Linked DNA regions of Cricetulus griseus. The protein of the gene in region 2 purifies or fractionates together with the protein of the main gene of each other region. This does not show direct contact. Links are inferred from orthologs where the notes say so. Each region holds a gene or a part of one and is shown on either strand. Other genes may lie near its edges. The genes, in order: Asf1b, Nasp and Asf1a.

Region 1 (4,294 bases), on a different chromosome or scaffold from region 2:
CCCTTCAAAACATGTACAGGAGTCCAAAAATTTCTCACTGAATAAAAGGATGCAGGATAGCTCATTAGCATTTTTATACTGATAATGTTTGAAATTAGCATTTTTGTTCTATTGAGTTAAATGTAATACTAAAATCAATCTCTCATCGTTTCTTGGCCTTTTAAGGATGGTCAAATGTGAAAACCAATTTATCTATTCATTTACTTCCCCAAAATCACTGTGTAAACCAGGCAGGCCTTGAACTCGCAGACGTCTGCCTACCTCAGGCTCCTGAGTGCTGGGATTAATGGATATACACCGGCACTCCAGGCGTTTTGTTTTGTTTCCTTTAAAAGACTTATTAGTAAAAGGTCTGTGGCTAGCATTATTTCTCACTGGTTGTATGTGTAAGAGACTGTGGCAGGGTTAGGGAGCCAGAGGGGCATGGAGTGAAGACCGCATTATATCGTCATAAATAGTGGCAGTTAACTTTCTTCTGTTTTTGTTTTTTCCAGACAGGGTTTCTCTATGTAGCCCTGGCTGTCCTCGAACTCAAGAGACCCGCCTGCCCCCGCCTCCGGAGTGCGCCACCACCCCAGGCCTTCGCAGTGAATTTTTCAACCGGTTGGAAAACAGGCTGGAGAGAGGATCCAAACCCTGGTACGTCGACGAACTTCAACTCCTTTCGGACCGGGACTCCATCCTGGGTCCCCACTCGCTGCCGCGCCATCTTGTCTCAGGGGTGCTCCAAATGTTCACGGCCGCTGTCCTCAAGGCCAGGAGTCCCTCAGAGGAGCTCCCGGAAACGCTCACCAGCGGACAAACGGAGGCCAGAGCGCCGCCATCACGCTTGCCTCTTCATGCTTTTCACTGAGCCGGAGGGCGGCTTCCAGCGCAGCCCTCCTTGTGCCGCGACATTAGCCAATCACATCTCAGAAGCCTACTGAAGCCCCGCCCCGTGGTCGCTAGTCAATCACGGCGAGTTCTGGCTCCCTTCTTTCAGCGCTCTTAAGTAAGAGTCGCGCGCCACCGTTCGGCCGTTAGTGGCTCTGCTCTCTGTGGGGTGTGCCTACCGGAAGAGCAGAATGAGGGGGCGGGTCACGCCGATGCGGTAACCCTTGGGATTGGACAAGAGAAGTTCCGCGCTCTAACTCCGCCCACCCCGGCGCAAGATATTCGAGTCGGAGACGCTAGGGATTGGTTCCGGATGGACACTTTGCGAAGCTAAAAGATGATCGTTCCGCCTCCCGCGGACCGTGAAGAGGAAGCTTCTCTGATTGGTCCGCGGGTCGAGGCGCAAACCGGAAGAAGCCTCAGGATTGGCTGGCGGGGCTCTCGCGCCGTCATAGATCCTTAGCGGCGATTGGCTGGAGGGTGGAGTCAGCTATTTGAAGGCCGCGCGCGGACGCGAGACGCTCTTTAGAGAAGAGTTGGAGTCGCTGAGAGGTTCTCTGCCTCGGCGACCTCCTCTTCCCCAGCCGCCATTGGCTGCGCAGGACACCGGAGAAGGCTCCACTGCAGCTGTGACCCCCTGGCGAGGTGATGGCCAAGGTGTCGGTGCTGAACGTGGCTGTCCTGGAGAACCCGAGCCCTTTCCACAGCCCCTTCCGGTTCGAGATCAGCTTCGAATGCAGTGAGGCCCTGTCTGACGGTGAGGCTGGGCCTGTGCAGGGGACCCCAAACCCTCTTGCCCTCATTTTTGCCACTCCCAGCCTCCCCGGGAACTTCTCCACTCAGAGATAAGCCTCCGTGGTCCAACTCGGTGGATAGGATCCAGTGCACGGTAACCTGCACTGTCTCGTGGAGGCACCCCTCGTCCTGAACCACTTGTCCTTGGCACCTTTTCTTTGTAGTGGTGTAAGCCTCCATCTAGCGTGTAAGAGACCGCGGCTACGCCTTCTTCCCAATGGCTAGACTCCATTTTCATGCCTATTTCCCCATAGAAAACCTCCCATCTATTCTCTCTTCCATGGAAACCCAACCTCCAGTACCCTCCCCCATTTTCCTTATGGACGGCTTTTCTACAGACCAGCAGACCCTCCTCTTGCTACCCTGTCTGCCCATGGCAAGACCTCTTCCACCCCATTTGTCTCCCATCGATACCATCCCCAGACATCTCCACATTTGTCCCTAGCAACTCCTCCTAGCCAACTGTAACGTCATGGCTGTTGTCCAGACCGGGGCCTCTCTTTAGGTTAGTACCATATCCTATGCATGACCTTCCCCCGGGGAGGGATGGGGTCTTCTGGCTCTTTGTAGATAACTTGGCCTCCCCAGCTCCTGGTCTGGGATTGGATGAACACTCGGGAAAGGGGTGCTACAGCCAGGCAGGCCTCTGCCAGTTTTGGGATTTCTACCAGCTTCCAGCAGACTCAGTGTAAGGAATCCCTCCTTCCTTTTGATGGGCTGACCTGGTGGTGGTGGGGGGTGACTGACCAAACAGGGATGGGATTCAACTTCAGTCAGCTGGGGAGAGAGACCGCTGGCCTTTGTGAATCTTTCACAGAATGACTTCATTCATCTGCAGGACATAAAGGTGGACGTGGCTGTTAGATGACAGGACAAGGGCCACAAAGACCAAAAGACCTTTGAAATAAGTCTGTGAACACATTAACCATGAGGTCACTTTGTAGTCTCAGCTCCACAGCAAGGCAATGTGTAGCATGTTTAATAAAAACCCAGAGACAGATATTGGGGTTAAAGCTGAAGATCAGAGAAGCAAAGTAGCCAGCCACTAGCTCTTACCTCTACCTCAGACAGAAAGGGTGATCCTGTCCTTAGATTGCATGTCCAGACTGTACTGCTGCTCAGACTGCCTCAGACTGCACATCCTTGTCTCCTCCCGCCTTATAGTCCTCTCTATTGATGGGATTAAAGGTATAGGATCCCAAGTGCTGAGATCACCTTTCTTTGAGCTCTGTTTCTCTTTCAGACTGGCTCAATTTTGTGTAGCTCAGGTGGCCTCGAACTAACAGAGCTCTGTCTGCTTCTGTATCCCAAGTGCTGGGATTAAAGGTGTGTACCACCACTGCCTGGCCTCTATGGCTAGCTAGTGTGGCTAGCTTTGCACTCTGATCTTCAGGCAAGCTTTATTTGTTAGATCATAAACAAAATATTAACACTAGGCAAGTCCTGCTTTTAGGAGGAAACACTCCTCATTTTCCTACTGAGGGTTGAAAGATGTAGCAGCTGAGGAGGTGGAGCTCTGAGAGGCTAGGTTGTGAAAACTAGTGCCTCTTGGTGGCTGTGGTTGGTGTTCAGACAAATCCAGCCACTTCTGTTCACCTGGAGCTGCTATAATGTGTGCTTGGGGTGGGCCACTGGCTGATCCTCTCCCTAGTTTCTCCTTAAGTTTAAAGGAATCTACTTGTGGCTTAACTATAGAATAAAGCTGGGTTAAATCCTTGCTGGAACAAGGTAGGGTGTAAATAAATAAAATATAGGGTAACAATGTGGGATAAGATTTATTTGGAAGCCAAGAGGAGACATAAATCAATGGAATCACAGTTCCCAGATGCTGAGAGAGCAGGTTTCAATCAGCCTGAGTGTGCTCTTTGCAAATAAAAATGGTTGCATGGTCATTACCTAATATTACTTTGATTCCTTATTTATGGAATTAGGACATCAAGGCTAAAGTCAGCTGCTGGCCATTGTAATACGAGCAGGATGATTTCTCCAAGTCAGCCAGACAGTAAAGTGTTACCACTGAAGTTTGTTTCTGAGTTCAGATTTTTTTTTTAATTTTATTTTTTGAATTTAATTTGTGGGTGTGGGCTAGAGACACCAGATGGTCTTCCTCAACTGCTCTTCATTGCTCTGTACCATTTTTTTTTCTTTAAAAAAAAAAATGTGTGTGTTTTGTCTACATGTATTTATGGTACCACTTGAGTGCTTGGTACCACAGAGTTTAAGAGAAGGAGTTGGGTGTCCTGGAACTGGAGTTACAGACTTTGGGAGTCACCATGCAGATGGTGGGAACCTGCCTGGCCTCTAGGAGAGCAGCTAGTGCTCTTAACCCATGGGCAGTCTCCAGCCCTGTTCTACCTATTTTAATCTCTGCAAAACCTGGAGCTCTAACACTACTAGGCTGGCTGTCTAATGAGCCAGGAACCCACCATCTCTTCCTCCTCAATAGTGGGGGTTTTGTTTGTTTGTTTTTTGAAACAGGATTTCACTACATAGTTCTGGCTGGCCTAGAACTCACAGATCTTTGATCTGTTTGTCTCTGCCTCCCCAGTGCTGGGATTAAAGGCATGCACCACCACACCTGACCTCTTTCTGTGTATATGTGTGTGTTGGGGTGGGTATGTGCATG
Region 2 (4,363 bases):
ACCTGCCTCTGCCTCCCGAGTGCTGGGATTAAAGGCGTGTGCCACCAACGCCCGGCCAAACCCTGTCTCAAAACCCCCAGAAACGGGTGTGGTGACACTCAGGTAGCACTTGTGAAGTGGAGGCAGGAGGATCAGGAATGCAAGATCATCCTTGGCTATGTAAAGCTGGAGGCTAGGATCAGCTATATGATACTATCTAAAAAACAAACAAAATCCCAGTGCTCAGGGGGCAGAGGCAGGCAGATCTCTGAATTTGAGGCCAGCCTGGTCTACAGAGCAAGTTCTAGGACAGCTAGGTCTACACAGAGAAACCCTGTCTCAAGAAACAAAACAACAATAAGGGTTCCTGATTTAAATATCTTATCTTGTTTAACATTAAAAAAAATTTAAAAAGCTGGTCAGTGGTGGTGCACATCTTTAATCTCAGCACTTGGGAGGCATAGGTAGGCAGATCTTTGTGAGCCATCAACGCCTGGCTTCCTGTACATAATTTTAAAAATTAAAAATATTTGAGACAGGATCTCATTATGTTTCTTGGTTGTCCTGGAATTCACTATATAAATCAGACTGCCTGGAACTCAGAGATCCCGAATGTCTCTAGAGTGTTGAGACTAAAGGTGTTTGTGACCACACCTGACCTTTTAAACAAGTTATTTTTATTATTATTATTTAGTTTTGTTTTTCAAGAAATGGTTTCTTGCAGGGTGGTGGTGGTGCATGCCTTTAGTCCCAGCACTCGGTAGGCAGAAGCAGGCAGATCTCTATGAGTTACAGGCCAGCTTGATCTAAAAGAGCTAGTTCCAGGACAGCCTCCAAAGCCACAGAGAAACCCTGCCTCAAAAACAAAAACAAAAAAGGTTTCTCGGTGTACTCTGGTTGTCCGGAGTCTAGCTTGGTAGATCAGGCTGGCCTTGAACTCAGGGAGATCCACCTGCCTCTGTCTCCTGAGTGCTGGGATTAAAAGCGTAGGCCACCACGCCCCACCAAAAAAGTTATTTTTAAAAGATTCCACTTTATTTTATATGTGTGAGTGCTTACTTGCATGCATATACGTGAACCATGTGTGTGCCTAGGGCTTCTGGAGGTTAGAGGACGACACTGGATACCCTGGAAGCGGAGTTACTGACAGTTGTAAAATAAGATGGGTATGGTGGAGCTCACTTGTAATTTCAGCACTTGGGAGGCGAATCTCTGTGAGTTAGAGGCCAGCCAGGGACATAGTGTGAGTCCCTTTCATATGTACTAAAGATAGAAGTAAGATAGCTAAAAAATTTAAAGTGTTTTAAGTACAGGGATTCAGCTCAACAACTCAGTGTTGGAATGTGGGTAGGGTGTCAGATGAGGGCGTCACTGGATTGGGCCAGCCAAAGGCGCGTGGATCTAGAGAGAGGAGGAAACATCCCTACTCCTTTGCCCCTCTGAGTTTTGAATCTAGCGCGATAGTTTCATCTGTAGCCAATCGTAGAGCAGCACCTTCTTTCGTCAGTAGTTGCTGAGGCCCAGAGCCACGAGTCTCTCGGGTCAGTTCTAGCCGTTGCTGTTGTACTCGTGCTCGGCTCTTGCGTTTCCATCCGTTAAGACTGAGAGGGCATACAGAAGACCTGTCACCTTCTCGGGTATCCCCGCCAGAAAGAAACCCTCGGCTACTCTTTCCACGCCCGCAGAGACTCACTGGCTCCACTTAACGTGGAGGCTCTGGCTGGCTCCATCAGAAGTTGTAGTGCCAAGATTCTGGTGCTTCTAACACGGCCAGCTACCGGGAGCAGGAAGTTCTTTTGTTGTTCGATTTTCTTTTCTTTCCAAGGAAAAGCGGGCCCGGGCGGGAAGATACCCAAACGGGAAGGGCTGCGGGGAGGTGTCCTTGTGACGGAGAGGTGTTGAGTTCTGGCCCTTTAAACCCAAGGGGGAGGATCCGGAAGTGGATGGGCGGGGCAAGCGGCCCCGATATATAAGAGGGCCCCAACCGCGCGGGGTCTCCAATCTGCCATTTTCTGTGCCTGAGTAAGTCTTTGCTGTCCTGAATTCTCTGTTCTCTCCACAGGCAGTGCTCTGCCCACCGGCCCACCGCGTCAGGGGAACGATGGCCACAGAGTCTACAGCCACTACTGCCGTCGCCGGAGAGCTGGCTTCCGCTGACAAGTAAGCCGGACTGTGGCGAGCGGGAGGCGCTGGCCAGTCCGTGGGGAGAGCTGTGGACTGGCTTCGCGGGCCGGAGGGCGGGCGGGCGGCGGGCCCGGCGGGGGGGTGGGACAGCTGCCTTTCCCTGGAGAACTGCGGCTGTCCGGAGGGAGCGGGGCTGTGGAGAAGCCCCCCCCTCAGGCGGCGCTGGCGACCGGCGCTAACGGCGGGCGGCTGGCGCCCCCTGCCCGGCTTTCCGCGGCCGCCATCTTGCCGGGGGCAGCGGCGGCTGTCTCCATCGCCTGCCCTTTTTCTTCCTCCCCCGGCCCGGGGCTGCCGCCGGTGGGGAGGCGGGGCCCCCCCGTCGCCGGTCCCCTCTTGAGCTCTTACTCTCGGCGCACTAGCGGGAGAGTCTGTAGAGGAATCTAGAAAACGACCAACAGATTTGGCGCCAAAAGAAAAAAAAAAAAAAAAAAACCTACACACGAGGATTGAGGCTCAGACCTGAGGGACCCGAGTGGGCGGGGCCTCGAGGAGGGCGGGACTTTGCACGCGTGCGTTCCGTGTCCCGGCTCTGGAGACGGGGGCGGGGCCTCGAGGAGGCGGGAAAACTCCATTGTTTGGGGTTTGGAGCGGCTCCTGCGGCAGCCGCTGGGCGCAGTGAAGTTTATCTCGTTGACTGTGTAGTTGACTGTAACCCGCGGGGTCGTTACGCGACCGAAGCCCTGCGACTCTCCGCTTTTGCTGAGAACCCTCAGGGTGTCCTTAGACTTTCCGTGTGTGGGTCGGAGATTTGGTTGCTCCAGGGGTCATTTTCACACTGATGGCTTCTTCGGTAAACGCTACACGGAGAATTCCGTACTTGCTAGATGAGTCTGCTAAGATAAAAGGACCCCCCCCCCCCCAAGAGGGAATAATTGCTTTGAGAGCTTCACAGTGCTAATCAAACATGAGCTACTTTTTTGGATAGTGCACAGAAACGGCCCATCATTTGGAGGAAACAAGTTTTCCGTACAGTAGGTCCTACTTTCCAATCTTCCCTTGTCTTTTAGGTGCCTGCTAATATTTTTTTTTTAATTTATTTATTAGTTCTAGTTAGGGAACAAGCTTGTTCACATGTAAATCCCTTCTCTCTCTCCCTCTCCCTCCCCTCACCCCATCCCTCCTCCCCCACCCCCAGCCTACCCCCACTCCATCCACCCACCACTCCCCAGGCAGGGTAGGGCCCTCAACGGGGGGCTCTGCAAAGTCCACCAAATCTTCCTGTGCCTGCTAATATTTTTTTCCGTCCCTGTACATTTTAGAAGTTTTTCCTCTGGTAAAAGTAAAGTTGGCTGTGGGGTTTTTGAGTGTTTTTTTTTTTTTTTTTTTTTTGCTGTAGGTTTAGGCATACTAGTTGACTTTTCAATTAGTACAGTTGTACCAGATATTAACGTATCTTTGCATACTTTACCTGTCACCTTTTGGTTCCTTTTCTAGTGGATTCTTGAAAAGCAGTGTTTCTCAAATCACCAATTTCCTGCCTCCTCATTGATTTCTTAGGGCCAGAGTAGCTTGAGTTAGGAAAATCTGTAGAATTTATTTATTTCAAGACAGGGTTTCTCTGTGTAACAGTCCTAGCTCTCCTGGAATTCTCTTTGTAGATCAGGCTGACCTCAAACTCACTGAGATCCACCTGCCTCTGCCAGTTTGGCCTCGAACTCTGAGATCTGCCAGCCTCTGCCTCCCAAGTGCTGGGATTAAAGGAAGGCCTGTACCACCACAGACCGGCTTTGTTTTTTGTCTATAGTTTTTATTATTATTATTATTATTTTGAGTCAATTAAAAAAATGTTATGGGATTGGAGAGATGGCTTAGCAGTTAAGACCACTGGCTACTCTTCCAGAGGACCTGAGTTCAATTCCAAACAACCACATGGTGGCTCACAGCCATAGTGGGATTTGATGCCCTTTTCTGGCATGCATAAAGTTGTACATACCAGGCTGGTCTCAGAGATTCATCTGTCTTTGCCTTCCCCATGCTGGGATTAAAGACTTGCACCACTACCGACAGGCATATAACGAGGGCTCTTAACTGCTCATCTATCCATCTTCAGTCTCATTAAGTAAATTCTTATTGACTCACATGACTATAGTGTGAAGTCTTAAATTTTTCTACACGTCAGAAAAGTCAAGTTTAGAATGGAGAGATTGTCAAATTATTATTTTGAGTTTTCATTTCTTCAATTTCCATGAAAAATCTTGTC
Region 3 (2,659 bases), about 220 Mb from region 2:
AATGGAGCCAAACCTTAACAAAGTACCTATCTCTCAAAGAAAATAAGCTTTTGGCCCATTTATTTGGTAAATTCCTTTCTAAAATTGTTCTTCAACTGTCTGGAAATCGGTCTAGAATATGTCAACTACAGATGTGCCCTGATCTTATCATTTTAATGAGAAGCAGAGGATATGGGGTATTGTAGCTGTGAACCTAAGACATACTTCTGAAGGTAGCCAGCCTAATAGGATAAAGCTAAGTAGACCTTTCTAAATTACCTTTCTGTAGCAACAGTGCCAAAAACACATGTTCGGAGTTTCTATAAACTGAATAGCAGATCTGAGCCATTATAATCTAATCTTATACTTTAGAAACCTTGCGTTTATTCTCACCATGTTGAAATCTTTGGACAATGATTTATGATCATGGTTTCTCAGTTTTAGAAGTAGGGAAGCATAAGCCATAGTCAGAAGGACTTCAAAGGTAGCCGCATTTATTACATAGAAACCAGAAGTCCAGTGTTAACACAAGCTGTGGTGGTAGCCACAAGACACACTGGGGTGGCCTAGAAAAACCTTGGTGGCTACAGTTGATTTCAGATTCCCTTTTTAAAGACATCTCTCTTTTTTTTTTTCTTTTTACTACAGTATGGAAGTTTGCTCCTTAAATTGAAAGGACACTGTCTTCACAGGAAAAAGCATTTTAGTTGAAGTAAACTTTGTTCTTTTAAAGGCTAGTAAAAAGTATTACTGTCCAAGAGGCTAAAACACCTTCACAACCTGGTCTAATAATTGATAAGTTTTCTTTTTATAAGTGCTTTAATTACATATAAAGAAGAAAATAATATATATATACTTTAACCAGATTAGTTTCATGAACAAATAAAATAACACATTAGAGAAAGAAAGTACTTAAAAATAGTTGTATTTATATTCCACAATTTGCTCAAATACTGGTTTTCTTATAAACTTTCTACAGGATGTTTTTAAACAAATTCTCTTCACATTTCACCTTGACTATGTACTTACGGAACTTCAGGGAAATAGTTCTGTTTTTAATAGCTTAATCTGTACTACTGGGATGGCACCTGGTCACATGCAGTCCATGTGGGATTCTAACATGACATTCAGTGAGTTTTCTGACGTGGACCATCCCTTTGATGCTGAAGGTAATGCATCTGTTGAAAGAAGGGACTGTAGATTTGGATTACTGCTCTCTGCATCTTCCAGTTTTTCTGTGTTATCTTCCCAGTTAATGTGGAATCTTGTGACTCTGGGATTAGATGCCAAAATATTTCTTTGAAGCTAGAAAAGAAACATTTAAATGATGAGCACCAGGAAAGTTAAGATTACCATATGCAAACTGAGTGGCTCTGGCAGTCCTTTTAAAGGACTAAATTCATATGCAAATGTATCAGCAAGTGAAGCACTTAAACCTAACTAATAAGCAAGGACTACAATAGCAAATAGCAAAAGAACTATTCCCCCTTGGAAACAAGGTAAGAAAAAAATCCATCTAGATCTTCCAACCTCCCCGCCCCCAACACACAAAGTACCTTGCTTTTATATTTCTGCTTCTTAAAGGATAATGGAAGGGAGGTACTTCTGCACACCCTTTAAAGGATGTTTTTAGTTAAATAAGCATGCCTTTAGCCTAATGTGTTTTCAGGCTGGGAACATAGTGCAAAAAAAGTACTCTGGCTAAGTCCCTAGGTTCAAATAAGCACCAAGAAATAAAACAAAAAACAAGACTTGAAAATTTTCCTCAAATAGAACCTCTAATTACTGGGATCTTAACTGTAATGTATTAAAATTCATTTTTAGAAACAGTATTCTAGTGTTTTGTTTTGTTTTGTTTTCTGCTATACAAAGGTTCTACTAATCCTAGCTCAACAGGATGTCTCTAAATTGTGGAAGATATCCCACCTGCACCAGCAGAAAGCAGAAGTCTCTAGTCTGTGGCAAGTCTGCCACATAGAGTACCACACAGAGTAAAAAAAAATCACAGTAACTAAGACTGGTAACCATTACCAGTTGAAAAAAATCTAAGATACTAAGTGATTTTAAGACTACTGAATCAGATTTTGATGTCTCAGAATTTAAGTTGTCATTATCAGAAATACTTAATACCTTTAGTTTAAGCTCTAATAATAGCAGACAGGATAACATATACAGATATTCTAAATATTAATAGAAATAAGCACACATTGGGCATGGTGACAACTGTAATCCGAAAGCCTGGACAACTGAGGAACAATGCCATAGCCATAGTTCAGGGCCACTTTGGGTTACAGCAGAAAGCCCTGTCTCAAAACCATCACAAAAGAAATGACCAATAAACCACATTTATCTTCTTGCTGTGATTTTAGGAAGTTATAGGCAAAAATATTTTTATAATCACTTCACTACAAAAATAAGACATTACATGTCCTCAAGGTTGAAATAAAAGACCTAACGGCAATGAAGGCCTGCTCTTTGCAGGAAGCTAGACCATCTGACTCAGGGTACCCATGGAACATTAATTCCTGGAGAGACAGGATTGAGGCCTTCCGTGCAAATGGAACAATTAGTTTGTTCAAACACTACAAAACTTCAAATTTCTTTACGGCCATGTTATAGAATGAAATAGCAACCCCCCTCAAAACTGAATAGTACACATAACTAAAAAGGAATACTAAGA

Evidence for each region.
Region 1: the proteins of Nasp (region 2) and Asf1b purify together in Homo sapiens (affinity purification with mass spectrometry; 5 studies listed by BioGRID and IntAct, counting the BioPlex papers as one, with this or other methods). This does not show direct contact. The link is inferred for Cricetulus griseus from reciprocal best matches to the Homo sapiens genes NASP and ASF1B.
Region 3: the proteins of Nasp (region 2) and Asf1a purify together in Homo sapiens (affinity purification with mass spectrometry; 6 studies listed by BioGRID and IntAct, counting the BioPlex papers as one, with this or other methods). This does not show direct contact. The link is inferred for Cricetulus griseus from reciprocal best matches to the Homo sapiens genes NASP and ASF1A.

The regions. Positions count from the first base shown.
Region 1 is NC_048596.1:160,459,024-160,463,317, reverse strand, and holds the start of Asf1b (histone chaperone ASF1B), read left to right. Parts: upstream 1-1,364; 5' UTR 1,365-1,521; coding exon 1,522-1,630; intron 1,631-2,132; exon of another isoform or gene 2,133-2,173; intron 2,174-2,238; exon of another isoform or gene 2,239-2,274; coding exon of another isoform or gene 2,275-2,356; intron 2,357-4,294. UniProt on the Homo sapiens protein: Histone chaperone that facilitates histone deposition and histone exchange and removal during nucleosome assembly and disassembly. Cooperates with chromatin assembly factor 1 (CAF-1) to promote replication-dependent chromatin assembly.
Region 2 is NC_048595.1:35,763,283-35,767,645, forward strand, and holds the start of Nasp (nuclear autoantigenic sperm protein), read left to right. Parts: upstream 1-1,493; 5' UTR 1,494-1,616; intron 1,617-1,967; exon of another isoform or gene 1,968-2,041; 5' UTR 2,042-2,080; coding exon 2,081-2,139; intron 2,140-4,363. UniProt on the Homo sapiens protein: Component of the histone chaperone network. Binds and stabilizes histone H3-H4 not bound to chromatin to maintain a soluble reservoir and modulate degradation by chaperone-mediated autophagy.
Region 3 is NC_048595.1:255,430,224-255,432,882, forward strand, and holds the end of Asf1a (histone chaperone ASF1A), read right to left. Parts: intron 1,285-2,659; coding exon 1,072-1,284; 3' UTR 595-1,071; downstream 1-594. UniProt on the Homo sapiens protein: Histone chaperone that facilitates histone deposition and histone exchange and removal during nucleosome assembly and disassembly.